4 linked regions of the Elephas maximus indicus genome follow. The protein of the gene in region 1 interacts with the protein of each later gene in a biochemical or structural test. Links are inferred from orthologs where the notes say so. Each region holds a gene or a part of one and is shown in the gene's direction. Other genes may lie near its edges.

The links.
Region 2: the proteins of PRKAR2A (region 1) and AKAP11 form a complex in vitro, tested with the Homo sapiens proteins (2 studies listed by BioGRID, with this or other methods). The link is inferred for Elephas maximus indicus from reciprocal best matches to the Homo sapiens genes PRKAR2A and AKAP11.
Region 3: the proteins of PRKAR2A (region 1) and RAB32 interact in a test that uses a peptide from one of them, tested with the Homo sapiens proteins (2 studies listed by BioGRID, with this or other methods). The link is inferred for Elephas maximus indicus from reciprocal best matches to the Homo sapiens genes PRKAR2A and RAB32.
Region 4: the proteins of PRKAR2A (region 1) and PALM2AKAP2 form a complex in vitro, tested with the Homo sapiens proteins (2 studies listed by BioGRID, with this or other methods). The link is inferred for Elephas maximus indicus from reciprocal best matches to the Homo sapiens genes PRKAR2A and PALM2AKAP2.

Annotation. Positions count from the first base shown.
Region 1 is NC_064838.1:53,375,283-53,382,685, reverse strand, and holds the start of PRKAR2A (cAMP-dependent protein kinase type II-alpha regulatory subunit), read left to right. Parts: upstream 1-4,399; 5' UTR 4,400-4,676; coding exon 4,677-4,926; intron 4,927-7,403. UniProt on the Homo sapiens protein: Regulatory subunit of the cAMP-dependent protein kinases involved in cAMP signaling in cells. Type II regulatory chains mediate membrane association by binding to anchoring proteins, including the MAP2 kinase.
Region 2 is NC_064832.1:38,917,315-38,924,509, reverse strand, and holds the start of AKAP11 (A-kinase anchor protein 11), read left to right. Parts: upstream 1-4,182; 5' UTR 4,183-4,457; coding exon 4,458-4,509; intron 4,510-7,195. UniProt on the Homo sapiens protein: Binds to type II regulatory subunits of protein kinase A and anchors/targets them.
Region 3 is NC_064819.1:217,462,374-217,470,330, forward strand, and holds the start of RAB32 (ras-related protein Rab-32), read left to right. Parts: upstream 1-4,957; 5' UTR 4,958-5,049; coding exon 5,050-5,299; intron 5,300-7,957. UniProt on the Homo sapiens protein: The small GTPases Rab are key regulators of intracellular membrane trafficking, from the formation of transport vesicles to their fusion with membranes.
Region 4 is NC_064827.1:59,082,676-59,089,656, forward strand, and holds the start of PALM2AKAP2 (A-kinase anchor protein 2), read left to right. Parts: upstream 1-3,969; 5' UTR 3,970-3,984; coding exon 3,985-4,040; intron 4,041-6,981. UniProt on the Homo sapiens protein: Binds to regulatory subunit (RII) of protein kinase A. May be involved in establishing polarity in signaling systems or in integrating PKA-RII isoforms with downstream effectors to capture, amplify and focus diffuse, trans-cellular signals carried by cAMP.

The DNA of each region.
Region 1 (7,403 bases):
ACCCATATACACCTTGCTACACACTCCCAATTACTCTCCCCCTAATGAGACAGCCTGCTCTCTTCCTCCACTCTCTCTTTTCATTTCCATTTCGCCAGCTTCTAGCCCCCTCCACCCTCTCATCTCCCCTCCAGGCAGGAGATGCCAACATAGTCTCAAGTGTCCACCTGTTCCAAGAAGCTCACTCCTCACCAGCATCCCTCTCCAACCCATTGTCCAGTCCAATCCATGTCTGAAGAGTTGGCTTCAGGAATGGTTCTTGTCCTGGGTCAACAGGTCTGGGGGCCATGACCACTGGGGTCCTTCCAGTCTCAGTCAGACCATTAAGTCTGGTCTTAGAAGAATTTGGGGTCTGCATCTCACTGATCTCCTGCTCCCTCAGGGGTTCTCTGTCGTGTTCCCTGTCAGTGCAGTCATTGGTTGTAGCTGGGCACCATCTAGTTTTTCTGGTCTCAGGATCATGTAGTCACTGGTTCATGTGGCCCTTTCTGTCTCTTGGGCTCGCAATTGCCTTGTGTCCTTGGTGGTGTTCATTCTCCTTTGGTCCAGGTGGGTTGAGACCAACTGATGCATCTTAGATGGCTGCTTGCTAGCGTTTAAGACCCCAGATGCCACTCTTCAAAGTGGGATGCAGAATGTTTTCTTAGTAGATTTTATTATGCCAATTGACTTAGATGTCCCCTGAAACCATGGTCCCCAGACCAATGGGTGGGGATTTTTATCCTCATTTTACAGACACGGAAGCCAAGGCTCGTACAGGTAAAGTGATCTGCCAAGGCCATTGGCAAACTGGTAACAGAATGGGTGTTAGTGTCTGGGCATCCATAGGCCTGAAGAAGGCCTGTGATGCTATCAGACATTGTTATGGGCTGCTTAACCTAAGCTCCAGGAGGGCTGTGTGTACTGTGGGATCAAAGCCCAGGCACTTGGGGTAGGACACAAGTCTCAAAGGCACTGGGAAGGCCCCTGGGCTCCCTTTTATGGCTTCTCTATATGGTCAGTATGTAGGCCTCTGGCTCCCCAGCCAAGCTCCTTCATGATTCCCAGGTTCTGTCCTAGCCCTGAGGTGTGCCAGAGGCAGACCTTGGGTCCACTGCAGACTTTGACACTTTCTCAGGACACAGTATCCTAGGAAGGGGGTTGTGGCTTGCAGGTGCAGAAACAGGTGCCTTGGGAATTAACTGCTCCTGGAGCATGGATACTTGTTAAAATAGACCAGACCTCCCAGACCAAAGGCAATGGCCTCATGGGGGAGGCCCCACAAGGGCTGAAGGACAACTTGGGTGAGAGCAGACGAACATAACTCCCTTCCCCAATCCCTCCTGCCCACTGGAAGCTTCTAGGTGAAATAAAAACTGGTGGTGTTAGGTACTAAGTAATCTAAGAGGACTGGATCAGGGAAGGGCTGGCATACAGAAGTGGTCAGGTGACCAGCAGGTCCCAGGAGACATGTGGGGGGCTGGAGTGGCTAAGGGCTCCTTTGGGCAGGAAAGAGCGAGGTGTTTGTGCTGGGGTTGAGCCCCCTCGGCAGGGAGGGAGCATCAGAGAGGGCACAGGATGTGTATAAGCTGGGGGTTCTGGGCCCAGAGCAGGCCTCCCTCCAGAAGAATCCCAAAGAGTTTAGGCATACTTCCTGAGGGAGGGGGGGAACAAATCTTAATAAATCCATAAAGAGTATATGAAATCCTCTGTTTCACTGGAAAACATAGTTGTACCCTACCTGTGTTCATTTTCACTGAGTCCCATTGCTATCAGGTTAAACATGACTCTACCTGGGTTATGCTGCCTCCATGGTTACAAAATCTCTCAGAATTGGGGCCCATGTGTCCATGTCTGTGCCTGTGGCTGGTGGCGTGGCAGTTTGTGCAGATGTTGGTGGATTGGGTTGGGTGGAGCACCCCTTAGGGCTCTGAGGCTGCCTCTTCTCCACCATGGCCTCTGTATTTCTCTTGAGGATTTCAGCTCCTTGCCTTTTCCACTCACTGTCGCTTGGTGTTGGCATCTGTTTCCCAGCTACTGGCTGCCTGTGGGTTTGGTTTCCACGGTAACCCCCAGTGGTACAGCTGGACAGGCTTGAATGCAGGCAGCCCTATGAGGGTAAGAGTAGAGGAATCAGGGCTCAGGCACCCGGTGTTTGCTCCTGCTTCAGGGCTCACTTCCCTGGACAGCTCAACTGGGCATGCCTGACGGCCCTTGGGGGTCCACTTGCTACTGAAGCAATGCCTACCTAGAAGGGGCAGAGATGGACCCCTTCTCTGGGGACCAGATGCTAAGGGAGGGGAGCCAGGTTGGGCCTAGAGGCTGGCTGTCCATCCTTCCTCTGTGTATGGAGACAGGTGAGGAGCAATCTTGTGGTTCCCCACTTTCTGTAGTGGTCCTCACTCCCCCCACAGATGGAGGTGGATGGCCAAGTTGTGGGGCATCTGAGAACAAGCCAGATAGATGATGGGCCTGCTTCTGGCAGAGGCCAATGGGAGTTGTTTGGAGTGATTAGGAGGACCTACTGGAACCCAGCTCTGCTGTCAGCCCTGAAGTAGCCTCTCTCCTGCTTTCATTCACAGCCTCCCTCTCCCATTTTCTAATTAAGGTCAGAGTCCTAACTATACAGATGCCCACTCCCCTTGAAAACATATAAAAACCGACAATACGGGCAAATTACATAGCAGAATTGTGGACCTACCTTTCCAAAAGTCTGCCTGTAGGATTGCTTGACAAGGGCAGATCCCCAGGTGTGGTGGTATAGTGGGAGTCCCACCTAGGTTTCCTGGGTATCAGTCAAGGGCTGACCCTCAAGGGGACCATTTCTGCATGGAAAACTTGGGAGGGTCAGTCTCCCCAAGAGCAGGGAAGAGTTGTGGGGCCCAGCTCCTCCAGCTCCTCACTGCTCACCCTTAATGAGGTCTTCGCATTCTGAGCAGAAGCACAGCTTTGAAGCAAAGGATTCCAGTTCTAAGACTGCAGTGTTAGGAGAGCAGTTTCAGTAGCTTTGCTTGCTGTGTGGAAATGTATCATTCATTCATTCAGTAAACCTTATCCAAGAGTGTAAAATAAGAACCCAACAGAGAACAAATCAGACACTGCCCTTCTCTCACAAAGTAAATGACCTCTAAGATTCCTCCCAGGAGCCAAGGAACTTGTCCAGGGATAAACTGCTGTTTGGAATCACAGGGCTGCCTGGCCTAGAGCCTGGGCTGGCCTCTGCACCAGCAGGGATCTGGTGCTCCTGCTGCCAGGAACTCAGTTCCCAGCAGCATTCATCTGCTGAGTGTGTGCCAAGCCAGTAAGGGAGGTGCTAGTGAGAATTTTAATTAATACTGGATAATTACCAGGTGGAGCTTAGCCATTCCCAATGCCCTACAGGTTCCCAAGCCTACGGTTAGTTCCTGGCTGGGTCCTGCAAGAGAAGGAAGACTCTGTCCTAGGCCCACTGGGCCTTTGGTCGGCACCTAGGTTGTGGCATGGATATCCCAGGAAGGTCTCCACCTTTTTCTATTGCCTTCCAATCTGGTGGGAGTAAGGGCAAGTTGGGAAATAGCCTAGCCTCTCCAGTTTACCTGTGTCCCCCCACCAGGTACAAAGGATAACAGTGTCTTGTCTTTTCAACTTCATCAAGCAGTGATGGCCAAGGGCCTGGGATAGGGTGCAGAGAGGGGAGGGGTGTGCAGACCTAGACCTGGGGAGCCTGGTGGGAGTCATCAAGAGAAGGAACTGGCATAGAGGTCGCTCTTGCATTGGGCCTTATTCCCTTTTCTTACTGTTTGGCTGAGTGAGCTCTTACAGGCTTATTTCTCTGCAGGTAGGTCCCAAATTACTATCTCACTGAAACTCCTACTACCTACAAAGCCTTCCCCTTCTGACATTTCAGACTTCCTGCCAGCCTCCCGAGCGTCCTATGATCACTCCACCATTTCACCCTGAGGCCAGGGTGATCCTGACTCTTCCAGGCTTTGCTCTTACTGTTATGTGTGCTCAGATGGCTTTCTTCCAGATCTTCCTGTGACTGGATCCTGCTCAGGGCTCCGGGCAGCTTGAATGTCACCCCCTAAATTGGGCTCTTAACTCTTCAACATAGTGGGAACCACGCGCTGCGATAGTCGTGTTTGCCCCTGCTGCCTGCCCAGTAAGCAAACAAGAGGCACTTAGCGTGTGTTGAGAGCATAAATGAAAGGTCTTCATGACCGGGTGAGAGGCATTAGCCAGCGCCCAGCCTCACACGTAGACCATTCATTCCTTCATTCGCCGGTGCCCAACCGAGAGGCAGCTGCGGGAGACCTACCCCACCACGACCCTTGGCTGCCCGGGGAGGACAGCTGCCCAGCGGCGCACGCGCACTGCGGGCTGGCGCTCGGCGGGGACGCGCACGCCCGCGGCCGCGTGCGTCACAACCCGGGAGCCTGCCCCGCCCCTGCCCGCCCGCGCGTCGGTCTCCGCGGCGGCGGCGGCGGTGGCGGCCCAGTGACAGCGGCGGCGGCGGCTCCAGGCCGGGGGAGATAACGCAGGTCGCGCGGCCCGGAAACGCCGACCCGGCCGAAGCGCGGCGCGGTGTGAGGAAGGCCGGACCGGGGCCGAGCGTGAGGAGACCGTGCGGCCGCCAGGTGAGGGGCCGGCGTCAGGGAGCGCGGGAGGCAGTGGCCGCCGGCGGCCCAGACCCGCCCGTCCCCGCGGCCACCGCCGGCATGAGCCACATTCAGATCCCGCCAGGGCTCACGGAGCTGCTGCAGGGCTATACGGTGGAAGTGCTGCGGCAGCAGCCGCCCGACCTCGTCGACTTCGCGGTAGACTACTTCACCCGCCTGCGTGAGGCCCGCCGCCTGGCCCCCGTCCCGCCCGCCGCCGCCCCTACTCGCGTTTCCTACGGGCCAGAGCCCAGCCCCGAACCGGTCGCCGATGAGGAAGACGAATCGGAGGACGAAGAGGACTTGGAAGGTAGGCGGCGGGCGGGGCCGAGGTTCGCTGGGGGACGAGGGGCTGTGCAGGGGGTCGCTAGAGGGCAGAGGACCGCGGGGGGCCGGGCGTCCCGCGGGGGCCGGGCGTCCCGCCGGGGACCGGGCGTCCCGCCGGGGGCCGACCGACCGCCTGGGCAGTGACCTCAGGGGTCTGGAACGGAGTTTCTCGGGTGTCCCGGAGCCGCCAGGGTGAACCTCGCGCGCCCCAGTTCCAAATCGAGCTCCAGGGCCCTCAGAACCGTAGAGCGCACCGAAGGGTTTGTCAGATTCAGCGGTGAAGGAAACGTGCGCGCCTTCAGCCGGGTGGTGGCGCGGAGCGCACGCCGGCCTCGTCCGAGGAGCCTTCGCCTCTTCTTGAGGCCCGTCTCGTTTTGTTCTGAAGACAGGAGCACTAGCATCGGTGATTCATATTTGATTTTCTGGACGGTAACCTTGTTTGGTTATAATTAATTTTCCGAAAAACTTGCAGCATGGACAGAAGTAGAGAGAAAAAGTAAACCTCTGTATACCCATCACCCAGATTCTGCAGTTGACAGTATGGTTCATCTAGTACTTTTTCTTTTTTGCCTTTGTTGAAGTATATTAAAGCAAATTCCAGACAGATTATTTCACCCCTGCGTACTTGAGTATGTATTTTAAAATATAGGCTCTGGAAATATTCTTTATTTATGTTTTTTTAATTTGGTTAAAACAGTTGAATTTAATTTTATGAGGGTGAGCAGAATAACAGTCTCTTCTTTGCGTTTAAAAAATTTTTGATAGTTTCTGCCGTTATACAATCAGTTTTTAAAAATAAACTAAAAATCTTGATAAATGTGTGGGCTGCAGAAAAGAAAGATAACACTTTTACATCTGATTTAAGCGAGGATGTCAAGAAGCAATTCCATTTCCTTGGTTGCTTCAATATAGGCTTTATCAGTTTGACGATAGAATTATCTTACTTTTGAACAGCTAAAATTTAACATAACAATTAGGCAGGCCCATAAAACGAGACTAAATGGGCACACCAGTCCAGGGGCAAGGAAGAGAATGCAGGAGGAGACAGGAAAGCTGATAATGGGGAACCCCAGGTCGAGAAGGGGAGAGTGTTGACATGTGGGGTTGGCAACCAATCAATGTTACAAAACAATGTGTATTCATTGTTTAATGAGAAACTAGTTTGCTCTGTAAAACCTTCATCTAAAGTACAATTAAAAAAAAACAGCGGTGAAAACACTTGAGAGACAAAGTTAGAGCCTTGGAATTGAAGTTCTGCATTGTTCAGTTCTGGCCCCCCATTCCACCCACTGCTAGCAAGGAGTTGATTGCTGTAGGAGGTTGTAAGCATCAGGACAAGGTCCCTAAGTTTGTTCATGCTAAAAGAATAGAAATTACTCTTCTGTGTTTCCGTTGACTTTTTGCACATTACATTATAGGTTTTCATAATAAATCTGGAAATCAGAAGTTGTTTTCCAAATCTCTCCCACAGATTTACTTTGTGATTTTGGACAAATTGTCAAATGTGTTTCATTTTAGATTTACTTATCTTTAAAATAGGGACAGTGACAGCAGTATTCCAGGGATAGATGTGTTTTTTTAAGAGTTTTATTTTAGGAGTGACTCAGGGTTTTTTTTCACTGTCATTCTCTGTAAATCGCAAAGTTGTAACTTGTTTTGCCACAGTTTTTATTTACACAAAACATTAGAGGAATATCTTAAAAACTACCCCCTTAAGTAAAAGAGTTTCACATTTTTTGTATTATGTCTTTATTCTTTGTCATGTTTGATATCTTTTTCAAAATTGAGTTGATTTAACATGGGCTTTGGTCTTTTTGACTAACCCCCTTTTATAACATGTTTAATAAAAAGCTGAGCTCTTAAAAAAAAAAGTTGACGTAAAATCTTTGTAACACTGTGCTCTATTGCTGTTTAAATTTTTTATTTATGTCTCAAGTAGTTGCACTATGTGTAATTATAGAAATAAAAGCTATACATAAAGAAATGAATTTCTATTTATAAATAATAGATTAAAAATACATTCCACATTATTAGAGTAATAAGCCCCCACCACCTAAAATTAGATCAGATATACCCATTCTATTTATAGAACTATGTATAGCTAGGAGGCTTTGCTTAGTAAGATCCTGTATAATGGCATGACTAACCATCATTTCCATTTATAAATTGCATGCTAAATAGGAAATAATTAAGTAACTTATTAGCTGTTATTTGTTTTAGTAACAACTTAGATATCAAAGAGCATATCAAAATATGACTATTAAAATGAATATCTAACTCTTGGGAAGGCCTGAAGAATTCAGACTTATTAAGTTACTCTGATTGCATCATAAAGACAGTAAATTGGCATTCAGACTTGATTCACTTCTGAAATTACCATAAAACATTTTATGCTTGTGGTTCTCCTCAGCATTTTTTTGTAACAGCTTTTTAGAGATTTAATTCACATTCCATATAATT
Region 2 (7,195 bases), on another chromosome or scaffold:
GAATAGAGTACAGATACTTCAAGCAGCACGTAAAAAGACAAAGTCTAGAAACAAAGTAACTGCTAGGAGAATATGGACTTTGTGAACTAGATGAATTTAATGACTTATAAGGAGCCGTGGTGGCACAATGGTTAAGTGCTCAACTGCTAACCAAAATGTTGGTGGTTCATGGTAGAAAGCAGCTCCATGGTAGAAACACCTAGCTATCTGCTCCCATAAAGATTCCAAATCCTCTTCCATTGATTCCAACTCATAGTGACCCTAGTGGACAAAGTAGAACTGCCCCATAGGGGTTCCAAGGAGTAGCTGGTGGATTTGAACTGCTGACCTTTTGGTTAGCATCCTGAGCTCTTAACCACTGTGCCACCAGGGCTCAGCCTAGAAAACCCTATGGGGTAGTTCTATTCTGTCACATGAGGTCGCTATGAGTTGAAAATTGAGTCGATGGCACCCAACAACATATAAAGTACTAAAAAAAAATAAACAACATCTACACAATACTTGTATGTGAATGTTCGTAGCAGCATTATTCATAATACCCAAAAAGTAGAAACAATTCGAGTGTCTATTGACTGCTCAATGGATAAATAAAATATGGTATATGCATACAATGGGATAGTATATAGCAAAAAAAAAAAAGAAAAAAGTTCTGATATTTGTGATTGACATATTATATAACTCCATTTATAAGAAATGTCCAGAATAGGCAAATTTATAGAGATGCAGTCAACAACAAAGTAGCTCAGTGAGTGCTTAGGGCTGAAGAGGAAGGGAGTTGACTGCTATTGGGGATGGGGGACAAAATGATCTAAACTTAGATTGTGGTAATGGTCGCACAATTCTGTGAATATACTAAAAACTATTGACTTACACTTTAAATAATAGGTGAATTGTATGACCTGTGAATTATATCTCAATGAAGCTGTTTTTTTTTTTCTTAAGAAAAACCAAAAAGAATGCAGGAGCCAGGGACATCTATAGACATGGAACTCATTAATCTTAAATTTCTTCTCATTTTATATATTCGTTGTACTTCAAATAATTATAGCACAGGAGACCACAATGGCTGTCTTGCTAGAGCGAGCTGGGAGGACTTACAGCTCTAACACAAGCTAGAAACGTACAGTCGAGCCCACCCTTCATCTAAATTTACAGTACCAAGCAGCTGTTTCAGTTCATCACACTGAGGGCTGCAGAAGACACAGAAACAATGGTCTTAATTTGCTAAAATACTATCTTCAAAGAAAATCATTTTGCTTTTAGTAAGTGACCCTACAATATTTGTTGAAATTTTGGTTTCATTAAAATTAAGGTGTTCTTTTAAGATATTGCCTCAGACCTATTTAATATTTATTTTCTATCTATTTTTTTAGCCCTGATTAGGAACATGTGAATCATTATTTATTAAGCAATACATTGGTTTAAAATAGCTTCAGAGAAACGGAATATGAGGTTGAGCAGGTGGCAATACTTCCGTTTTCACACTCGGAGAAGGCCAAGGTTTCTTAGGGAAGCACGCCTGGTATCTGTATTAATCAGTTTCATAGTTCCTCAGCCGGGGTGTGTGTTTGCGTGCGTGTGTGTCCAATTTTATTTGGTTTGTGCTGCCGGCTCTGTGAGGTTTTTTATGAAGATTCATTTCATTTCCCTTTCCTGCTTCTGTCCTACTTGCGTGAGAGTGCCAAAGTGTAATCCAGGCTTGACGACTTTGTGTGTAGGCTAGTTAAACTGCCTTGGTTGCTGAATGAGGAAGTTGAGATCTAGTGATGATAAAGTATCTTGATTTAGTTGAGTCACTAGGTAATGACCGGCCTGGAGCTGGAATTCAAGTCTCCCGATTTCTGTCTTGTAGTGAAACACCCTCATGATTTTCCAGCCTTCAGCCTCCAATATTCTCAAACCTTACACTTAGGAACAGCCATCTACATTGGACCTCACTTTATGTTACTTTTTCTCAGAACTGATTTTAAGTATGGACAGAAGACGTGGTTATCTATGTGGTATAAATGGAAGGAAGAAACCAAGGGAAAAATGTGGCCCTTCCTTTTGGGCCATTCATTTCCCAATAAAAAAAACTCCCACTTATCTTTCTGTAATTAAACAGCAATACCAAACTAAAAAACCAAACCTGTTGCAGTAGAGGCAATTCTGACTCCTAGCGACCTTACAGGACAGAGCAGAAGTGCCCCATCAGGTTTCGAAGACTGTAATCTTTTCGGAAGCTGACTGCCACATCTTTATCTTGCAAAGTGGCTGGTGGGTTCCAACCATAAACCTTCAGGTTAGTAGCTAGCACTTAACCACTCCACCACCAGAGAAAAAAAAAAGGCCAGGGCTTCCTTAAATAGCAATACGTCATGATTTATCCAGGTATTTTTAACAAAGGTGGCAAACACCAGAGTTCTGACCTAATAGATTTTAGGAGACAATGGCAAGGTCATTGGAAATTAAGTCTTTACCGATTGTTTCTCACCTGTACTACATGTCTCTTAATTGATCTCCCTGCTTTCGCTTTGGCCTCCTTAACGTCCATTCTCTGCAGGGAAGAGTTTTTTTTAAAAAACGTAAACCATACGTGTCGCTCCCCTACATAAAACCCTCCAGTGCTTTCCATTGCACTTAGAATAAACTCTCTTTACTTTCTGGGCTTACAAAGCCGTACAGGATCTGGTCCATGTTTGTTTATATCCCCAAACTCATTTCCTCTTCCATTCTTTTTTTTTTTCCCCCCTCCCTTGAACGCACCAGAATAAGTCCCAGTTTTGGACCTTGGTGTTACCGGTTTCCTGTGCCTGGAATGCCCTTCCCTCCGATTTTTGCATCACGGTTACTTAAATCGCTGCTTAACTGTCTCCTTCCTGAAGGGCCTTACCTGAAATAGCCACCCAATCACAATCACCGTCACATCACCAAACTGCTCTTCGCGCAGAGCAAAACGTCAAGTATCCCCGACACCCCCGTAAGCTCCCTGGAACGTACACTATTTATCTTCATCGATGCTCAGTCGACAGCCTAGAGTAGTGCCTAAAATAAATGCAGGAGCTCAACAAAAATCTGTTGAAGAATGTACATATGAATGCATCTCCCCCGGCCCTGTCCTCCAAACAGGGCAGCATTTGACTCAAGGAGGATACACTTAAACACGTCTTTCTCATCTTATCTGGTATTTTCACCCTTGAGGAACAGGCGCCCCAGACAGCGCAACCTGACCGGCCCTGCCGCTTCTAAGTGGACATAATCAGCGCCCTAGCTTTTCATCTCGTGCTAGGCTTCTCCGAGCCAAAGCTTTCCTTTCCGCTTCCCAAACCACGTAAAACCGAAGAGGTGAGCATTAGGGCCTGGGAGCCCTTGATGCTAATTCCTGCGGCGCGGAGAGGGCCGAGGGCCTGATGTGCTGTGAGTGGTCCTCCCCAGAGATGCAGGGAGAAGGGGCGGAGTCATCCCGAAAGGATGGGCCAAGTAAGGCCCGTCAGATCTGGTGGGGCTGCTGCCTTGGGAAGGGCTCAGAGCTTCAGAAGAAAGCAAAGCGGGCCTTGAGGCGAAGAAAAAGTCCAGCTGGCCTCAGGCGGTAAGACTATGGGGTCGAAGGGAAAAGAGGCAGGGCCTGAAACCAGACCTGCGGAGCTAGCCGAGGCGTGGTTATGCTCCCAGAAGAAAGGGTTAAACCGTTTCCAGGGCAACACATCAGGAAGCGCGCAAGACGTCCGGCGCTGGTTCGTAGGTCGGCCTCGAGTTAAAGCCCCCACGGCCGAACGGGTTCCGGCCAATGGGGAGAACGCCTGGGCGTCACGTGAACGGTGGGGCCGATCCGGAGCTGTCTACGAGCACGTGGGAAGGCTTTTCCTTGTTGCTCCTTTCCTTTTTTAAAGCCCACCCACTTTTGCGCGGGCTTGGCCACAGTTGCTCTCGCGAGAGGCGCACCACCCTCTCGCGAGAGTGAGTGGGAGGCGTGGGGAGTAGGCAGTGTCGCGGGCTAGAACTGCTGCGGCGGAAGGCGAGGGGGTGGGCGGAAGGCGAGGGGGTGGGCAGGGCGGGGAGGGCCGCGGGTGGGGAGGGGGGAGGGCTGGGGTCCGGTGCGGGAGGGGCGCCTGCCTGTTCGCCCCGCTCGCGCGGCTGGTCGTTGCGGGCCGGTGACATGCCTGTGAGCTGCTAAGGCTGCGGCCCCCAGGTGAGCCGGACGCGGACCCCACCGCGGCGTAAGCAGCGCGTTGGCAGGGGAGGCGGCGATGTGTGGGGCTAGGATGGATGGGCGGCCCGGCTCAGGCGCCCTAGCCCGGCCGCCCGGGCTTCGGGTTCGGGGCCGCCGGACAGCTGCGCCTTCGAACGGTGGTGGGAGGAGGGCGGGAGGAGCGGCGCGGAGGAAGCCTGAGGTGGTCCTCGGGGCTTGAGACGGATGAACCTGGGATCCGGGCGAACCTGGGATCCGGGCTGTGGCGTTGCAGCTGCCACCTCTTGGGATGGCAGGTTCAGTTTCCATCCCCGGTGTGTCGTCAGAGCCGGGTACTCCCGGTACGTGCTGGTTTGTGTTGCTGGTGCGAGTACAGGAGCAAATGCAGGAGGACATTGCAGTTTGTCCCCAAACATCATCCTTACTGTCAGGCTCCTTGAGCCTTGGAACCAGGCACAGCCCAAATCTTGTGACAGAAACGGAAGGCGTCAAGCAGCTCTTCAGAGAACTCATATTTGGATTGGCTGTAAAATCCTTTCCTAAACTGTTAATCGCTTAAACGCTAGTTATCCAGTATTCCAAGGAGTCCTGGAGATACGGTGGTTAAGCGCTGGGCTGCTAACCTAAAGGTCATCGGTTCGAACCCACCAGCCGCTCCTGGGGAGAAAGCTCTGGGAGTCTGCTTCCCATAAGATTTACAGCCCTGAAAACCCAGTGAGGCAGTTCGGTTCTCTCCGAACATGTCGCTATGAGTCGGAATTTGACTTGAAGGCAGAGGGTTTGGGTTTATCCAGTATTCCAAATGGATTGTGTATCTTGTTATTCCAGGGATCTACAAAGCTGATTTATAAAAATATGTAGTTGTAACTCGTTTTTTAAAAACTATGGCAAAATGACAATGACAGTAAAATCTAAACCACTACACTGATAGAACGTGGCATTTCTTCTGTTTTCCCTCTCTTCTTAAACCTTATTAAACGAAGTGGTGTGTCTTAAGATGTTCAGGAATTTCAGAATGAGCAATACTGCGGAGATCCTTATCTAGCGGTCTTAGTGCAAACTGGAGTTAAAAATTCTGTTTTCTTTTCAGCTTCGTAATTATTCAGTCCCTTGGAAAATTCTAAAGTTTTCCCCTTAGCTTCTTCCCACTTTGCTAGGAGTGTTTTGATAGTCTGAAAATGAGAAAATACAAAGTACTCAGAATAGGGTTCTCAGTAATGCAAAGATGGCTTCGTTTTAATGTCTTGTTTATGATTTTAGAGTAAAGGGCAGCATACTGCCTAGCGTGATTGGTGTCAGTTAAAATAGTGTAGCGCAATTTAATGACCTTTTCTGAGTACGCAGTCGCGTTATTGCAAATAGTACCCTGGTTATTCATACGGTGTTCCTTGAGGCAAAAGGGTAACCTCAAAATTGGCAGTGAATGTCATGATTAACTGTAGTTGTGAATAACAGTAATTTATGAGAGGTCAGAGTGTATGGAAAAATTTGGAAACGGATAGTAGTGATAGTTGAACAACATGATGTTTGTAAAAGTCACAGCATGTAAGAAATGTTGAAATAGATGTTTTGTTATATATTCATCACAGTTAAAAAAGGGGGGGAAGGGTGTAAGGGAATTGGAAGAAGTGAGTTCCCAAGCTGAGTTAGTAACCAGTGACTAGTGTATATACTATACTTCTGTCTGCACTGTTAACTGCAGTTAATAACTGCACTGTTGATAAGTACGTAGTCATACTCCGAGGCCAGTGATATTTCCCAGTTGTTTAGGATATAGTACTTGTTTAAAATCCAGAACAGCAATGAGAAATTCTCTATCCTCTGAACTCCCAGGGGAAGTCTAGAAGCTGAAGAAATACTCCTTTGCCCTTAAACCCACTGCCTTCGCGTCGATTCCGACTCATAGTGACCCTAGAGGACAGAGTAGAACTGCCCCATGGGGTTTCCAAGGAGTGCCTGGTGGATTCCAACTGCCGACCTTTTGGTTAGCAGCCATAGCTCTTAATCACTACACTACGAGGGTTTCATGAGTGGAAGAAGGTCTCTCTCTAAATGTATGTGTGTGTACACACTTATGTGTGTATGTGTGTATAAATATATATATATATATATATATATATATATATATATATAGGGTTGCTAGGAGTTGTAATTGACAGCAATGGGTTTATAGATACAGATACATATACGTATACACGTACGTACTTTTTTTTTAAATTCCAGAAGCTTATTGTCCAAAAAATTAAACCAAATCAGATAATATATTACAGGTCATTTAAAGGGAATTTTCCAGTTATAAATAGGCAGAGGCGTTCTGCCCAAACTTGGAGAAAATGTGAAAAACTTAGGAGCTGTCCTTTTGTGAATGGACAAAAAACCCAGTCGAGATTAGAAAAGTTCCGTCACATTCTATATTGGTAAATTTATTTCAGGGATAGAAAAACAATTTTTTTCATGGTCTCTCTAACCTTTTTTTGGGCAGGAGTTTCAAACTTGTGAGATGTTTGTTTTGTCTGTCCTTTGAAAAGTAATGGAGGTAGCTCTGTACTTACTTTGGTAAGCAGATTTATTATTATTTTCGGTCTAGTGACCTGCATTTTAATAATAAAATCAACCACTTAACCACTTGGAGGGCATGAGGGCTGGGGACAAGTCACTAAAAGATCTAAGCCTAGCCTGGACTTGAGTTAAGGATGTGTAAATTGATAGTATGGGAGAAGGGTGCAGAAAATACATTATCAGTTTAAAACAGATTCGACAGCTCCAAATGCCTTTATTCTTGTACTCATCTTTATATACGAAAGTTAATTTTATTTTTAAATACTGAGGTAAAGTCAGTTGAGACATATAGATTAGAGACTGATAAAGGAGAAAAGTTAACACCTTTTTTTTTTAGTAATCTGAGAATGTTTTATAAAAAAAGTAAATGTTGTAGTAGTCCGGAATAGAGACAATGTTGCTTGAATGAAAATGAAGTAGAGTGTGAAGAGTTTGGGTTTTAGAATTAGACAGATCTGGTAATTAACA
Region 3 (7,957 bases), on another chromosome or scaffold:
TGGAGTTGACCTTAAAGACGTGGATTGAGTAAAGCTTTCGGGACCTTCATTTGCTGGTGTGGCACGACTCGAAATGAGAAGAAACAGCTACAAACATCCATTAATAATCAGAACCTGGAATGTATGAAGTATGAATCTAGGAAAATTGGAAATCACCAAAAATGAAATGGAACACATGAACATTGATATCCTAGGCATTAGTGAGCTGAAATGGACTGGTACTGGCCATTTTGAATCAGACAATCATATAGTTTACTGTGCTGGGAATGACAGCTCGAAGAGGAATGGTGTTGCATTCATCGTGAAAAAGAACGCTTCAAGATCTATCCTAAAGTACAACGCTGTCAGTGATAGGATAATATCCATATGTCTACAAGGAAGACCAGTTAATACAACTATTATTCAAATTTACGCACCAACCACTAGGGCCAAAGATGAAGAAATAGAAGATTTTTATCAGCTGCTATAGTCTGAAATTGATCAAACATGCAATCAAGATGCATTCATAATTACTGGTGATTAGAATGTGAAAGTTGGGAACAAAGAAGAAGGATCAGCAGTTGGAAAATATGGCCTTGGTGATAGAAACAATGCTGGAGATCGAATAATAGAATTTTGCAAGACCAAGAACTTCATTGTAAATACCTTCTTTCACCAACATAAACGGCGACTATATACGTGGATTTCACCAGATGGAACACACAGAAATCAAAATGACTACATCTGTGGAAAGAGATGGTGGAAAAGCTCAATATCATCTGTCAGAACAAGGCCAGGGGCAGACTGTGGAACAGACCATCAATTGCTCATATGCAAGTTCAAGCTGAAACTGAAGAAAATCAGAGCAAGTCCACAAGAGCCAAAATATGACCTTGAGTATATCCCACCTGAATTTACAGACCATCTCAAGAATAGTTTTGATGCATTGAACACTAGTGACTGAAGACCAGACAAGCTGTGGAATGACATCAAGGACATCATCCATGAAGAAAGCAAGAGGTCACTGAAAAGATAGGAAAGAAAGAAAAGACCAAGATGGATGTCAGAGAAGACTCTGAAACTTGCTCTTGAGCATCGAGCAGCTAAAGCAAAAGGAAGAATTGATGAAGTAAAAGAACTGAACAGAAAATTTCAAAGGGTGGCTCGAGAAGACAAAGTAAAGTATTACAATGACATATGCAAAGAGCTGGAAATGGAAAACCAAAAGGGAGGAACACTCGGCGTTTCTCAAGCTGAAAGAACAGAAGAAAAAATTCAAGCCTTAAGTTGCAATAGTGAAGGAGTCCATGGGGAAAATATTAAATAACTCAGGAAGCATCAAAAGAAGATGGAAGGAATACACAGAGTCATTATACCAAAAAGAATTAGTCGATATTCAACTATTTCAAGAGGTGACATATGATCAGCAACCAATGGTACTGAAGGAAGAAGTCCAAGCTGCTCTGAAGGCATTGGCAAAAAACAAGGCTCCAGGAATTGATGGAATATCAATTGAGATGTTTCAACAAACAGATGCAGTGCTGGAGATGCTCACTCGTCTATGCCAAGAAATATGGAAGACGGCTTCCTGGCCAACTGACTGGAAGAGATCCATATTTATGCCTATCCCCAAGAAAGGTGATCCAACCAAATGTGGAAATTATAGAACAATATTTTTTTTTTAATCATTAATATCACACGCAAGCAAAATCTTGCTGAAGATCATTCAAAAGTGGCTGCAGCAGTATATCGACAGGGAACTGCCAGAAATTCAGGCTGGTTTCAGAAGAGGACATGGAGCCAGGGATATCATTGCTGATGTCAGATGGATCCTGGCTGAAAGCAGAGAATAACAGAAGGGTGTTTACTTGTGTTTTATTGACTATGCAAAGGCATTCGACTGTGTGGATCATAACAAATTATGGATAACATTGCGAAAAATGGGAATTCCAGAACACTTAATTGTGCTCATGAGGAACCTTTACATAGATCAAGAGGCAGTTGTTTGGACAGAACAAGGACATACTGATTGGTTTAAAGTCAGGAAATGTGTGTGTCAGGGTTGTATTCTTTCACCATACCTATTTAATCTGTATGCTGAGCAAATAATACGAGAAGCTGGACTATATGAAGAAGAACAGGGCATCAGGATTGGAGGAAGACTCATTAACAACCTGCCTTATGCAGATGACACAACCTTGCTTGCTCAAAGTGAAGAGGACCTGAAGCACTTATTGACGAAGCTCAAAGACCACAGCCTTCAGTATGGATTACACCTCAACATAAAGAAAACAAAAATCCTCACAACTGGACCAATGAGCAACATCATGATAAATGGAGAAAAGATTGAAGTTGTCAAGGATTTCATTTTACTTGGATCCACAATCAATAGCCATGGAAGCAGCAGTCAAGAAATCAAAAGACACATTGCATTGGGCAAATCTGCTGCAAAGGACCTCTTCAAAGTGTTGAAGAGCAAAGACGTCACCCTGAAGACTAAGGTGCGCCTGACCCAAGCCATGGTATTTTCACTCACATCATATGCATGTGAAAGCTGGACAAGGAATAAGGAAGACCAAAGAAGAGTTGATGCCTTTGAATTGTGGTGTTGGTGAAGCATATTGAATATCCATGGACTGCCAAAAGAACTAATAAATCTGTCTGGGAAGAAGTACATCCAGAATGCTCCTTAGAGGCAAGGATGGCGAAACTGCGTCTTATATACTTTGGACATGTTGTCAGGAGGGATAAGTCCCTGGAGAAGGACGTCATGCTTGGCAGAGTACAGGGTCAGCAGAAAAGAGGAAGACCCTTGACGAGGTGGATTGACACGGTGGCTGCAGCAATGAGCTCAAGCATAACGATTGTAAGGATGGCTCAGGACCGGGCAGTGTTTCGTTCTGTTGTGCGTAGGGTTGCTATGAGTCCGAACCAACTCGATGGCACCTAATAACAACAACAACAACGTGTGTACATCATACTTACCTAGGAGTGGTGTGTGTGTGTGTGTGCGTGTGTGTGTGTAATGCAGATTCCTGGACTCTCCCTCTAAAAGATCTGAAACAGAAGGTCTTGTTAATTAGGTAGCTAGTTTTCCAGGTTAGTCAGGTACACAGCAGACATGGGAGCTGCTGAAATCTAATCTAAACTCCTGCTACTCAACATACGATCCACCAACTGTACTGGCACCACCTAGGAATTTGTTAGGAATTCTGAATTTCAGGCCCCTATCCTAGATATACTGAATCAGAATCTGCACTTTAACAAGATTTTAGGTGATTCATATGTGCTGTTAAGCTTGAATAGCAAGCATTGATCCAGGGTAGTGTGGCCCCAGACCTAAGCACCAGCATCACTTAAGAACTTGTCAGAAATGCAAATTCTCTGCCTGTGTCCCAGGTCTTCTGAATCGGAATCCCTCTGGGGTCAGTTTGTAAGCTGTTAGAGCAAACCCTTGGTGTACCCTCAAGTTTAAGAACCACTGATCCAAATTACTATCCTGCGTTTAGCTATGACCATTTCCAATTTTAAATCACCTCGTATGATTTTTAGCACCATAATTCTATTTCTAATGTCAGTGAAAATCTAGGAGAGTTAGGGAAAGCAGGAACTGACAAAAATCTACAGTAATATGTATATACGGAACAATACGCTGCGCAAAAGGTAAGAACTGGAGATTCCTCTTTTTCAAAGTTGGAGATGATATTGGAAGGGCTCTCTAAGTGGGTGAACACAGAGGCCACATGGCTGGTTGGCCATAAAACTTGCTAAGAGCAGCTCCGTTATTTTTCAATAGTTATTCTAGAAAAGGTTTTACTCCCACTTTGACTTCTAAATTTTAAAACGCCTCCACCTCTGAAAAAACATCTTTCAATGGCTGTCAATTATAGTGAGGACAGCAGGATAAGCCACCACTTTATTTAAAGAAGCTACCAGAGGATATCAGCTCCAGGTGTTTCTAAATATAAGAGCGGGTGTAGGGGGTGTCCCTCAATTTTATAAACACAGCAAGCAAGGTAAGGCTTCCTATCTTTCTTCAAAATAAAAGTCCACAATACTAGCATTTTTCATCCTTTCCCAGGATATAACTCAGAGTTTTTACATCTATTTTAAACTCATCGGAAGACTTAAAAAAGACTTTCTGGGAAAGGAAAATAAAAACTCAAGTCAACAGATAGCTCTAAAGACCCTTGTCTCTCTATTGGGACTCATTCTTCCTTCATTTAGATAGTAAATCTTTATCAGTCTTTTGTTTACTTCGGGATCTTTCTGCCACTTCCTTCCATGTTTTCCAAAGCAGACTGCTAGAGGCCAAAGACCATGACCTCCACGTGCTGAATTCCCTCTGGACAGGAGCTCTGGTTAATAATGGTTAAGAGTTCGGCCGCTAACCAAAAGGTGGGCAGTTGGAATCCACCAGCCGCTCCTTGGAAACCCTATGGGGCAGTTCTATTCCGTATGGCATGGTCGCTATGTCTCCGAACGCTATGAGTTGGCCAGCAGTTTTTTGTACAGTCGGGGAAGGAAGTTTCTTCCTAGGCCAGCGCCTTCAGCAAGGCTGGGCTGCATCTGGCCAGCCTCAGCGTGCTCTGCGCTCACGCCGGCGGTTCCCCGGTGGCTTGGCCGCCTCAGCACCGCTGCCCGCAAACGGGGAACGCTTGGGCGCCGTTCCCCTCCGCCGGCCCCGGGCAGCGCGGGGCTCCGGGCTCCTCTGTTCCTCTGGGGCCCAGCAGGGGGCGGCCGGGGCTCGGCGCCGCCACAGGGCGAGGAAGGGCCGAGACGGGAGGAAGTGGCTGAAGTCGGGGCCGAGCCCGGGGGAATGCAGGGAGTGGGGAGCGGCCCCCGGGCCCTCCCCCGACCCCGGGCCCTCCCCCGGCCGGCCCCGGCCCTTTCCCCGCCCCGCGCGGGCTCCTGTGACTGGAGGTTCCGGGTCCTGTGACCGGTCAGGCGGTGTCGGTCGGTCGGCCGGCCGGGCGGGCGGGCGGGCCTCGGGGGAGTTTCTGTGGCCAGCCGGAGCTAGGGGCCGGCTCGGGGAAGGGGCTCGCCGACAGCCGCGGCCCGGCCTTGCCCATGGCGGGCGGGGGAGGCCGGGACCTGGGCCGGGGGGCGGCTGCCGACGCGGTGCCCGAGACCCGCGAGCACCTCTTCAAGGTGCTGGTCATCGGCGAGCTCGGCGTGGGCAAGACCAGCATCATCAAGCGCTACGTCCACCAGCTCTTCTCCCAGCACTACCGGGCCACCATCGGGGTGGACTTCGCTCTCAAGGTCCTCAACTGGGACAGCAAGACGCTGGTGCGGCTGCAGCTGTGGGACATCGCGGGTAAGGGAGCGGCCGCGCCAGGAAGGGCCTTCGCGAAGATTCCGTCCGTCGGGAGCAGGGAAACTTGCTCATTTCCTCTCTTTTTTTCTTTCTCCTCTGCCTGATCTTGCCAGTGTGCGTTTAGGAGAAGAAAGAGGCTAAGCCAAATAAAAAAATGCGACAATGGTTAGGTGGACTCTGGTGGGATCAGGACAATGGAACGAGCAGTAGTAGTTGAGAAATTTAAAAGCAGGATAAAATAAATAAATGAATAAATAAATAACCCTGATTAGATGCCTCTGCTAAGTCAGCGGGAAGCCCTCAATTTTAAAAGATGTAAAGACGTCCTCTACTCCAGGATTGTCTCAGGTGACAGAAGGTGGGGAAGCCGTAGAGGCTTTTTCAGAAGTTTTAACTCTGAGTATTGACAAGCCTGTAATACACCAGGAAAGGAATGGCTGCTTTGGGAGAGGCCACCTCCTCAAGTTCAGCTTTAACATTTCACAGATGAGAACTGAAGTTCAGAGTGAGTGAATAACTTACCCAAAGTTACACTCCTAGTTAGTGACAAGCGCTACAGGAGAAACCAGGTTTCAGAACATTTCCATCGTGCGTAGGACACTTTTCTGGGAGTGAAACTCTCCGTTCCTCAAACATCCTGTCCTTATTCAACCGTTAGGTCACCTAGATGAAGATTTGGGGGAAAAGCCGATACTACTATCACGGTTCCTAAACCAATGCCCCTTACCCCTTCAGAGACGTTGTTTCGTTAGCATTTGCTTTCAGTTGTCATTTTGGAGCAAGAGAGTCTTTCTTTTTGAGGGAGTACACATTCCCCTCCCTCTAATTTATGAAAAACTGAGCTCTGGCTGGTGTGGTGAGTGAGACGACTGCCGATGCGTGACCCTGAATGGAGAAAACGTGGTATTATACTTGTGGCCATTTAAAAAGATATTAATTATGGAACTTTGGGGAAATTTTAAATAAGGAAATGGTAGCCAAAACTACGCTGTTCGGTCATGATTGGTGTTAAGAATTAAGCTCAGTTAAGAATTAAGGAAATGGTAGCCAAAACTACGCTGTTGGGTCATGATTGGTGTTAAGAATTAAGCTCAGCCTGCAATAGAGCGTGTGAATGGGAGCATGCTTAAGGTTGGAGGACACCTTTGAACTGGCCTTTCACACATCATAAACTGAGGCCCATGGAGGGCGTGATTACCTAGCTGGCACCAGAGTGGGGGTACACAGGTCTAGTTTAGTGTTCTTTCCTTTTAAAGCCTATTACTTTGAAGAAAGGATTGTAGAATTAAAACCCATATATTCATTTATTTAAGAACAAACTTCACTGCTCAAATTAAAAAAAAAAAAAAGCATATCAATCCCTCAGAGAAAGGTACTTAATCAGCTTTGGGCTCAGCATCTTTTTTTTGTTTTTTTGGTTACAGAAAACCAAAAGTTCGTTTGAAGCCAGAGGCTTCTTTCAAAACACTTCCTGCGATTGCACAGAACATTTAATAAACAGTATTAAATAACTGCCTTGCTTCTTGATTCTAAAGGTTGCGTAAACATGTGACAGTCATTCTCCAGAAATCCTCAGAGTAGCTATGGATTTCCATGAAAATGACTTTAAACCTTTGACTAGGATGGTGGTTGACACTGCTTTATTCTGTATGTGAAAGAGTATGATATATAGCTACTAAATTAGCACTGGGTCCCACTGCAATAAATGAGTACGAACACCTAGATTTTTATGCCATAGTTCCGTTTTTAGGCTTCATAGTCAAATGCTTTTGTTTGAAGATTTGGGAAAACAAAAAGATGACTAAGAGTTTTCTTTGTAGGTATCTAATCTCCTTTTTTCATTCTTCTTGAACATACTTATGTAGCCAGGAAGGGGGCATATCCAGTCTTTCTCAGACCCTGGTACACAGTTGCCTAGGTGACATAGCCTTGCTCTTTTGCCTAAAGCCAAATCTTGAGTTTTGCCAGGAAGGAAGGCAAAATTTGAATATCTCCAAAAAGAATTCCTGGATGTTAGATACTGTTGTTTGGTTCTGGGTACCATTAAGCAAGTATACATAGCAATTAACTAGATTAGAGGTAAGATTATGAGGCATTTATAATTTATTAGGTTCACCTTACAAGGTTTTCAGCTAAAAAAAAAAAAAAAAGAAGTCTTAATATATAAATTAATCAAGAGGCAAAAATAACTTAATTTTAACCAAAGTTAGGGTACCTAAGTCATTAACCATGTTCAGTTCGAATAGTTTAGCTGCTGCTGAAACCTAGTTCGTGCCATTTGAATTAAGTAGTAATGATAGGTCCTATGAGTTGGAATCGACTCTACAGCAATGGGTTTTTTTTTTTTTTTTTTTGATGTAGTGAAGGAAATCTGAAGGCAACTCCAAAAATTTCCCCCATGACTAAACGTACTTGCCTTATGTAGTAAGAAAATTGGGCTTTATTTAATTTTCAGAGAATAGAAGTATTCCTTGACTGCAAAACAGTCGGTGGAGTCAGCCACTTAATATGACTGATTTAAGGTGTTTGTTAGTATTAATTAGGTTTTGTTTTAGAGGTGGGTAAAACGATAAAGAAATTATGTAGAGTCTCTATTCTTGAACACTTTGACAAGTGTGACAGGCAAGAGTTATTTAATATTGGAAGTTAAGCTCAACT
Region 4 (6,981 bases), on another chromosome or scaffold:
TTATGTATGTGTCAAAACCCATAGAACTGTAAACAAAGAGTAAACCCTAATGTAAACTATGGATAATTAATAATAATGTATCAACATTGGTTCATCAGTTGTAACAGATGTATCTCATGAAAGGGATGATGTTAATAATAGGGTAACATTGGTTGCAGTACTCGGCCCTTTCCACCCTGGGTTCCCTGTGTCCATTTGCCCAATTTTCTTGTCCCTTCCTGCCTTCTTGTCTTGCTTTTGGGCAGGAGTTGCCCATTTGGTCTCGTATATTTCATTGAACTAAGAAGCTTTTACAGGCCTGTCTAATCTGTTTGAAAGGTGGGCTTCTGAAGTGGCTTCGTTTCTGAGTTAGCTGATTGTCTGGGGCCATAGTCTTGGGGGTTCCTCCAATCTCTGTCAAACTAGTAAGTCTGGTCTTTTTTTTGTCAATTGGAATTTTGTTCTGCATTTTTCTCCTGCTCGGTCTGGTCAAAGACTATTGTGATCCCTGTCAGAGCGGTCGGTGGTGGTAGCTGGGCACCATCTAGTTCATCTGGGCTCAGGCTGGTGGAGGCTGTGGTTCATGTGGTCTTTTAGTCCTTTGGGCTAATATTTTCCTAGTACCTTTGGTTTTCTTCACTCTCCTTTGCTCCAGCAGGGATTAGACCAATAGTTGTATCTTACATGGCCACTCACAAGCTTTAAAGATCCCAGAGGCTATTCACTAAAGAACAATGTAGAACATTTTCTTTATGAACTATGTTATGACAATTGACCTAAATGTCTCCTGAGACAATGGCCCCCAGCCCTCAGCCCCCACAACTCAGTCTCTCAAGGTATTTGGATGTGTCTAGGAAGCTTCTATGACTTTACCTTGGTCAAGTTGTGCTGATTTCTCCTATATTGTGTGTTGTCTTTCCCTTCACTGAAGTTGACACTTGTCTACTATCTGTTTAGTGATTTCCCCTCCCTATCTCTCCCGTCACTCATAACCATCGAAGATTGTTTTTTTCTGTGTGTAAACCTTTTCTTGAGTTTTTATCATAGTGGTCTCATACAATATCTGTCTTTTTGTGACTGACTTATTTCACTCAGCATAATGCCCTCAAGATTCATCTATGTTGTGAGACATTTCATGGATTCATTATTGTCCATCTTTACATAGTATTCCGTTGTATGTATGGACCATAGTTTGTTTATCCTTTGGCTATTGATGGGCACTTAGGTTGTTTCCATCTTTTTATTATTGTGAATAATGCTACAATGAACATGAGTGTGCATATGTCTATTTGTGTGATGGATCTTATTTCTGTAGGGTATAGTCCTAGGAGTGGGATTGCTGGATCATACGTTATTTCTATTTTTGGCTTTTTAAGGTGGCACCATATCATTTTCCACAGTGGTTGTATCATTTTACCTTCCCATCAGCAGTACATAAGAGTTCCAATCTTCCCATAACCTCTCCAACATTTATTATTTTCTTTTTTTGATTAGTACCAGTATTGTCAAGGTGAGATGGTATGTCATTGTAATTTTGATTTGCATTTCTCTAATAGCTAATGATTGTAAGCATTTCTTTATGTGTCTGTTAGCTGCCTAAATGTCTTCTTGGGTTCTCTGTACTTTCTGTAAACCTAAAACTGCTCCAAAAATAATCTCTAAAAAACACCTCAGGCAGTCTAAGAACTATACCAACCGTCAATTTCTCCAGGTTCTCTCTCAGACCAGAGCAGGAGGGTCACTGCATGGCCTTTATAGGACTATGACCTAACACCAGGATTTTGGCTTTCTGGGAGGGTCAACATAATGCATGACCACATACAAGTTCCTTTCATCTGTATTTGAAATATCAGGGGAAAAAAAGCAAATCTAATAAAGAGATAGCCAAGTATATTTAACCTTCCTATAGACGTCAAGGAGCCCTGGTGGAGCAGTGGTTAAGAGCTTGCCCGCTAACCAAAAGTTTGGCAATTCAAATCCAGCGGCCACTCCTTTGAAAACTATTCTGTTCTGTAGGGTTGCTATGAGTCAGAACCGACTCGACAGCAATGAGTTATAGATGTCAAACTTGTGAGATAAAGCTGGAAATTCTGGGGACTGAAGGTAGCGTTCAGAATCACCGACGCGACCTCACAGCTCCTGTGACAACAAGATGACGTGTTACAAGGAGGCACAAACTGAAAATTGTATTGACTCTTTTGAGAGAGATCATATTACAAACAGACAGCAAAACAATATTTTTCTGGAATTTGTAATAATTGCAGTCTGGGCCAGAATGGAAGAAACAAGCCTTTGGAAATGTTTATTTTAAATGCCAAGAACAAGAATAGTGACTAAAAAAAAAAAAAAGCTATAGAAAGTAGCCTTTGATTAAAACATTCTCCCCGCCTGCCCCCAGCCTCCTTCAAAACCTTCACAGCAGCATTTCTCAACTGCTGTTTCATTACAGCTTAATAAGGAGCTTTTTAAGGTACTTTTCTCTGAATTTTAATACCACAGATATGTTTACATCTGTTTATGTACTGTTTGTGTATCTGTGCTTTATACATAGAAGAGTAAGGTTTTTTTCATTCTTCTTCCCCAAGTGCCAAATGTTCACCCTCTAGGGACTATTGTTCCCATCAAGAATGCATGACTGAGAGACTAAGTGATATTCAAAGCACTCTAGAATCTACTTAGAGGAGTGAATGTTGTCAAATATCTGAAGAGCTTCCCCCACCAACCTTCTGTTGACTGTCTTTGTAGCTTCACACTGAGGGATGCCGTCGTGTCTGGAGGAAAGCCACAGCACTGTTAGTCCATCTGTCTTCCTGCACCCCTCACCCAGTTGCCAAAAGGGTTCTTTTCTCATCCTGGGTTCCTTCCTCAGTAAAGTGTAGGTAATAAGAGTATCTACTTCCTAGAGTTGTTTTTTTGGATTAACTGTGGCCATGATGTAGAGGATTTAGTACAGTGTCTACAAGAGAAAACGTGCTCAATGAATGATTAGTGTAGTTTTCTTTAAAATTATGATTCTTTTTCCACCTTATCTTCCCTGAGAGATGTGCTTTCAGTTCTTCCCCTGGTCCAGATCCATTATTCGATTCCTCTCTTCGGTGATGACTTTTGAGGTCTCTCTTTGGGCTGCCTTTCTTTCTCATCATGCCCCTTTAAAGACAGCTGACCTGACCCAGAAGGGTGCAGATTTACTGCCCACCAGAAATTAATAATATGCCCATGCTTGGCCAATTTGAGCTTGATCTGACATAAGCAAGGGGGCCATGCCCAAGGAATGGCCAGACCAGCAACATGCTGAGCCAACCAAGCCATGAGAAAACTGGGTGCCTTTGCCAGGCCTGTTACACTCCTGTGAGATCCCTCTTCTGGAAAGGAAAGGAATCTATGTATTGACTTTTCTGAGCAGACATAATGTTGTATGCTTGTAAATAATCTGCACTTTAGAGCATTCATCTCTGTGTATTTTCAACTTTAGACAACCCCCCTTGGGAGAATAAAAGTGGAATGAATGCTCTTAACTTCATCAGCTGCTGAGGGATTTCTGTCATGCTGTCTCTCTCACATGACAGGAAACTCTATCTTGTGTTTTTGATTTAGTTCTCTGACAAGCTAGTTGAGATTTGTTTTAGCAACTCTGTTCCTTCTTGCTAAGTTGCGCCAAGAATTCCTGGCCACCTAGTCTTGTGTTTGCTGTCATTTAAACATTATTTATTTTGCCTACCCCTTGGCAGAGCTAAGAAGTTTGTAGGAATGTGAATGATGTTTGGGGTGCATTGCTTGAAGGACATGCAGAACATTCCCTCCTGCAAGTAATCTGTTCTATATCCTTGAGTCAAACCAGATTGAAGAGACTCTGCTGGGTGGGTTGCACTGTCCTGGCTCCATGCAAAGTTCCTTTTATTGAATTGCTCCTAGGTCTGATGCCTTCAGCCTATACTGAGGGCCCATATGGGCAGAGCTCAATGAAGCTTCTTGTTTTGTCTATTGAAGAGCAGTGCCAAGGGCATCATGCTTTCATCCCACAGTTACCTTTTCAGAGAAGTCTCATCTTCAGCACCAAGAAGGTCAGTACTTCTCTTAAATGATTGGTCTATTTTTTTACCTTATGGATGTTGGGCAATGGCATCACTAGGGTTGGTGTCACCCAGTGAGGTAACTCATGGTGTCACTCCCTCCATGGACATCCTCCTGTACCAGACCATATAGAATCCTTAGTAATGTTTTTTGTGCTAATGTAACTCACAAACCGTAATTTCCGTGTATCACTCCTTCTTTTCCGTTAACTCCTACTTCATTCGCAAAAAAGTTATTGATATAGGTTCACAGATACTAATTACCACAATAATGCAGATAAAACAGAAAATTTTACAAGATCAGTGACTGTAAAAACGCCGACAACATCGAAAACAATAGCGGTGCTTGTTGTACGTGAAGATGAAACCACATGGTTCTGAGTGTCATTTTAATTGGATAATAATGACAGCAGCTCTGACGGGAGTGTATTAGAAGGTTCAAAAAGTAAATTAGCACAGAATTTTAGCCTTGTAGGTATATTGATACGCGTAAGCTGGGCTCAGAAAAAATGTTTTTGTTGTTATAACTAACGACAGGGGTATTTTTATAGACAGTCATTTTGCTGTCACCTCCTCTGACAGTGTTACTGGGTGCAGTCTGCTCCCCTCCACTTCCCCAGTGATGCCCCTGATGTTGGTCATTACATATCTGACCATGTTTTTTTCTTGTTTTCGAAGCTGTAATGTTTAGAACCTGTTTGTGGTCCACTATAGCCAGGCCGAGACTCCCTCCTCTGCTCCTTTTTAAAAACTCATTCCTGTCTACTTCCTTGTATTCTCTTTTCTTCTGTACCATTTAAAATTCATGCTCTGTTGGTGAATTTTGGTTTTCTTTGTAAGCTCCCTTATATCCTTTCTGGAGTAAAGTAGGAAACAAGTTTTGTAACTAAATAAATGTTTATCTGGGAGAGGAATTAGCCTAATTTCATATGATCCCAACGGACAAAATGAGGATTCCCTTCTCCTCCCCTCCCTCTTTTTTTCTTATTATTCAACAAATATTTAATATATGCCAACTTTTTGCCAGACACTTAGGTGGCTTTTGGCTATTTAAGAAAGAACTTTATGTCTCTCAGATCGGCCCATATATAAACAATCACCATTTGTACCAGAACTTTGTAATTCACTTTGTGCTTCCACACACATGACCTTGTTTTACCTTTACAGCAATGCTCAATGGTAGGTATTATCATTATCTTCATTGATCAAGAACCTGAGCTTTAACAAAAATCTTAGCCAAAGTAACTCAGCTGCTAAATAGGGGAGGAGGGACTTGCCTCCTGATTTTCAGGTTTCGGATTCTTTGTACGTCCTTTCCATTACCCGATACTCCCCACCACCCGATACTCCCCACCACCCATGGCTTCCCCACTCCTTGTGGAATGGGCATATGGTATCAGTATGAATGTACTTTGTTTCGCTCTGACAACCTTTTTACCCAGAATGTGAATAAGATAAGATTTCACATGGTGTCATTTCTATTTTTATTCTTTGTGAGTTAAAAGCCAACACCAATATGCCAAATATGTTTCTGCTTTCATACTTCAAAGCTTTGCTGTAGGAGCCTTTCATACCGGGACCATATAAATGCTGGTTGGAAAACAGGTGGTTCAGTATGTCAGCTGTTCAAAAGTCTAGGATTCAGCACGTAGTTTTTTGAGTCACCACACACCATCACCTCCACCTGGGAGGTGAGCTCACTTGCTCTTCGTGCCTGTGCATATTGCGTGTTAGCATAGGGAAAGCAAAACCATATATTCCAGAACAAAGCTAGTGCATGTCACAGCATGCCCAACCAGCAACTATTGAGGTGCTCCATTCTCCAAAAGCAATACAGTCATGCGTTGCTTAACATCCACCATATATTCTGTGAAATAGGACGTTATGTGATTTGGACATTGTGTGAATACCATGTATCTGTGTGTGTAACAAGGCCATGTGGGTCTGAGCACTGAGGGGCACCGCCAGAAGCACCAGCTGCTTCCCCTGTACTCTAGCATCACAGCATCGTCCTACACTGCTTCTCTCTCTCTGCTGACTTCAAGTGAGCTCCAGCTGCTTGGAGCTGGACAAAGCCCTGCCGCCTCTCCGGCTGCCCACTCAGCCCCCTGAGACATGAGATTTAAGACATACTAGAGACATGAGATACACGGGTTGCATGCGGCAAGCTGTTGCGTTTGCTACATCTCCTTATGTCTTTTATGTCGATTTCTGAACTCTGTTAGAACCTTGGAGCCCTGGTGGTGTAGTGGCTAAGAGCTCGGCTGCTAGCCAAAAGGTTGGCCATTTGAATTCACCAGGCACTCCTTGGAAACCCTCTGTCTTATAGGGTTGTATTATAACTTATGAGACCACAGGCGTATGTGAGGTTGAACGTGGCCCAAATGGACGTGATGTGGTATGTAACTGTATAAACTTGGAGAGCATTATTTTTTGAAGAGGCGAGGAAGATCCTCCTCACCATGTCTCTAGTATGGAGAAGTAAAAATTTTTAGGTCCCAGGTTGCATAAGATAAGTAGGAGGTTGGCTTGTTATTATTATTTTTAGGATTAGAAATTTGAATTACAGAATATTAAATGTGTATTAGAAACCCTGGTGGTATAGTGGTTAAGTGCTACAGCTGCTAACCAAAAGTCGGCATTTGGAATCTACCAGGTGCTCCTTGGAAACCTTATGGGGCAGTTCTACGGTGTCCTTTAGGGTCGCTATAAGTTGGAATCGACTCGACGGCAGTGGGTATGGGTATGGGTAAATGTATATTAGAAAATGATACACTATAGAAGATATAAAAATAATAAAATAGTCATTCATTCAGCAAGTAGAATATACCCAACATGGTTGATTTTGGTGTCCCTCCTATATCTCATCCGCTGTTTCTCTCACAAAAATAATCAGTATTCTGAATTTTATAAATAATTTTACCACATATGT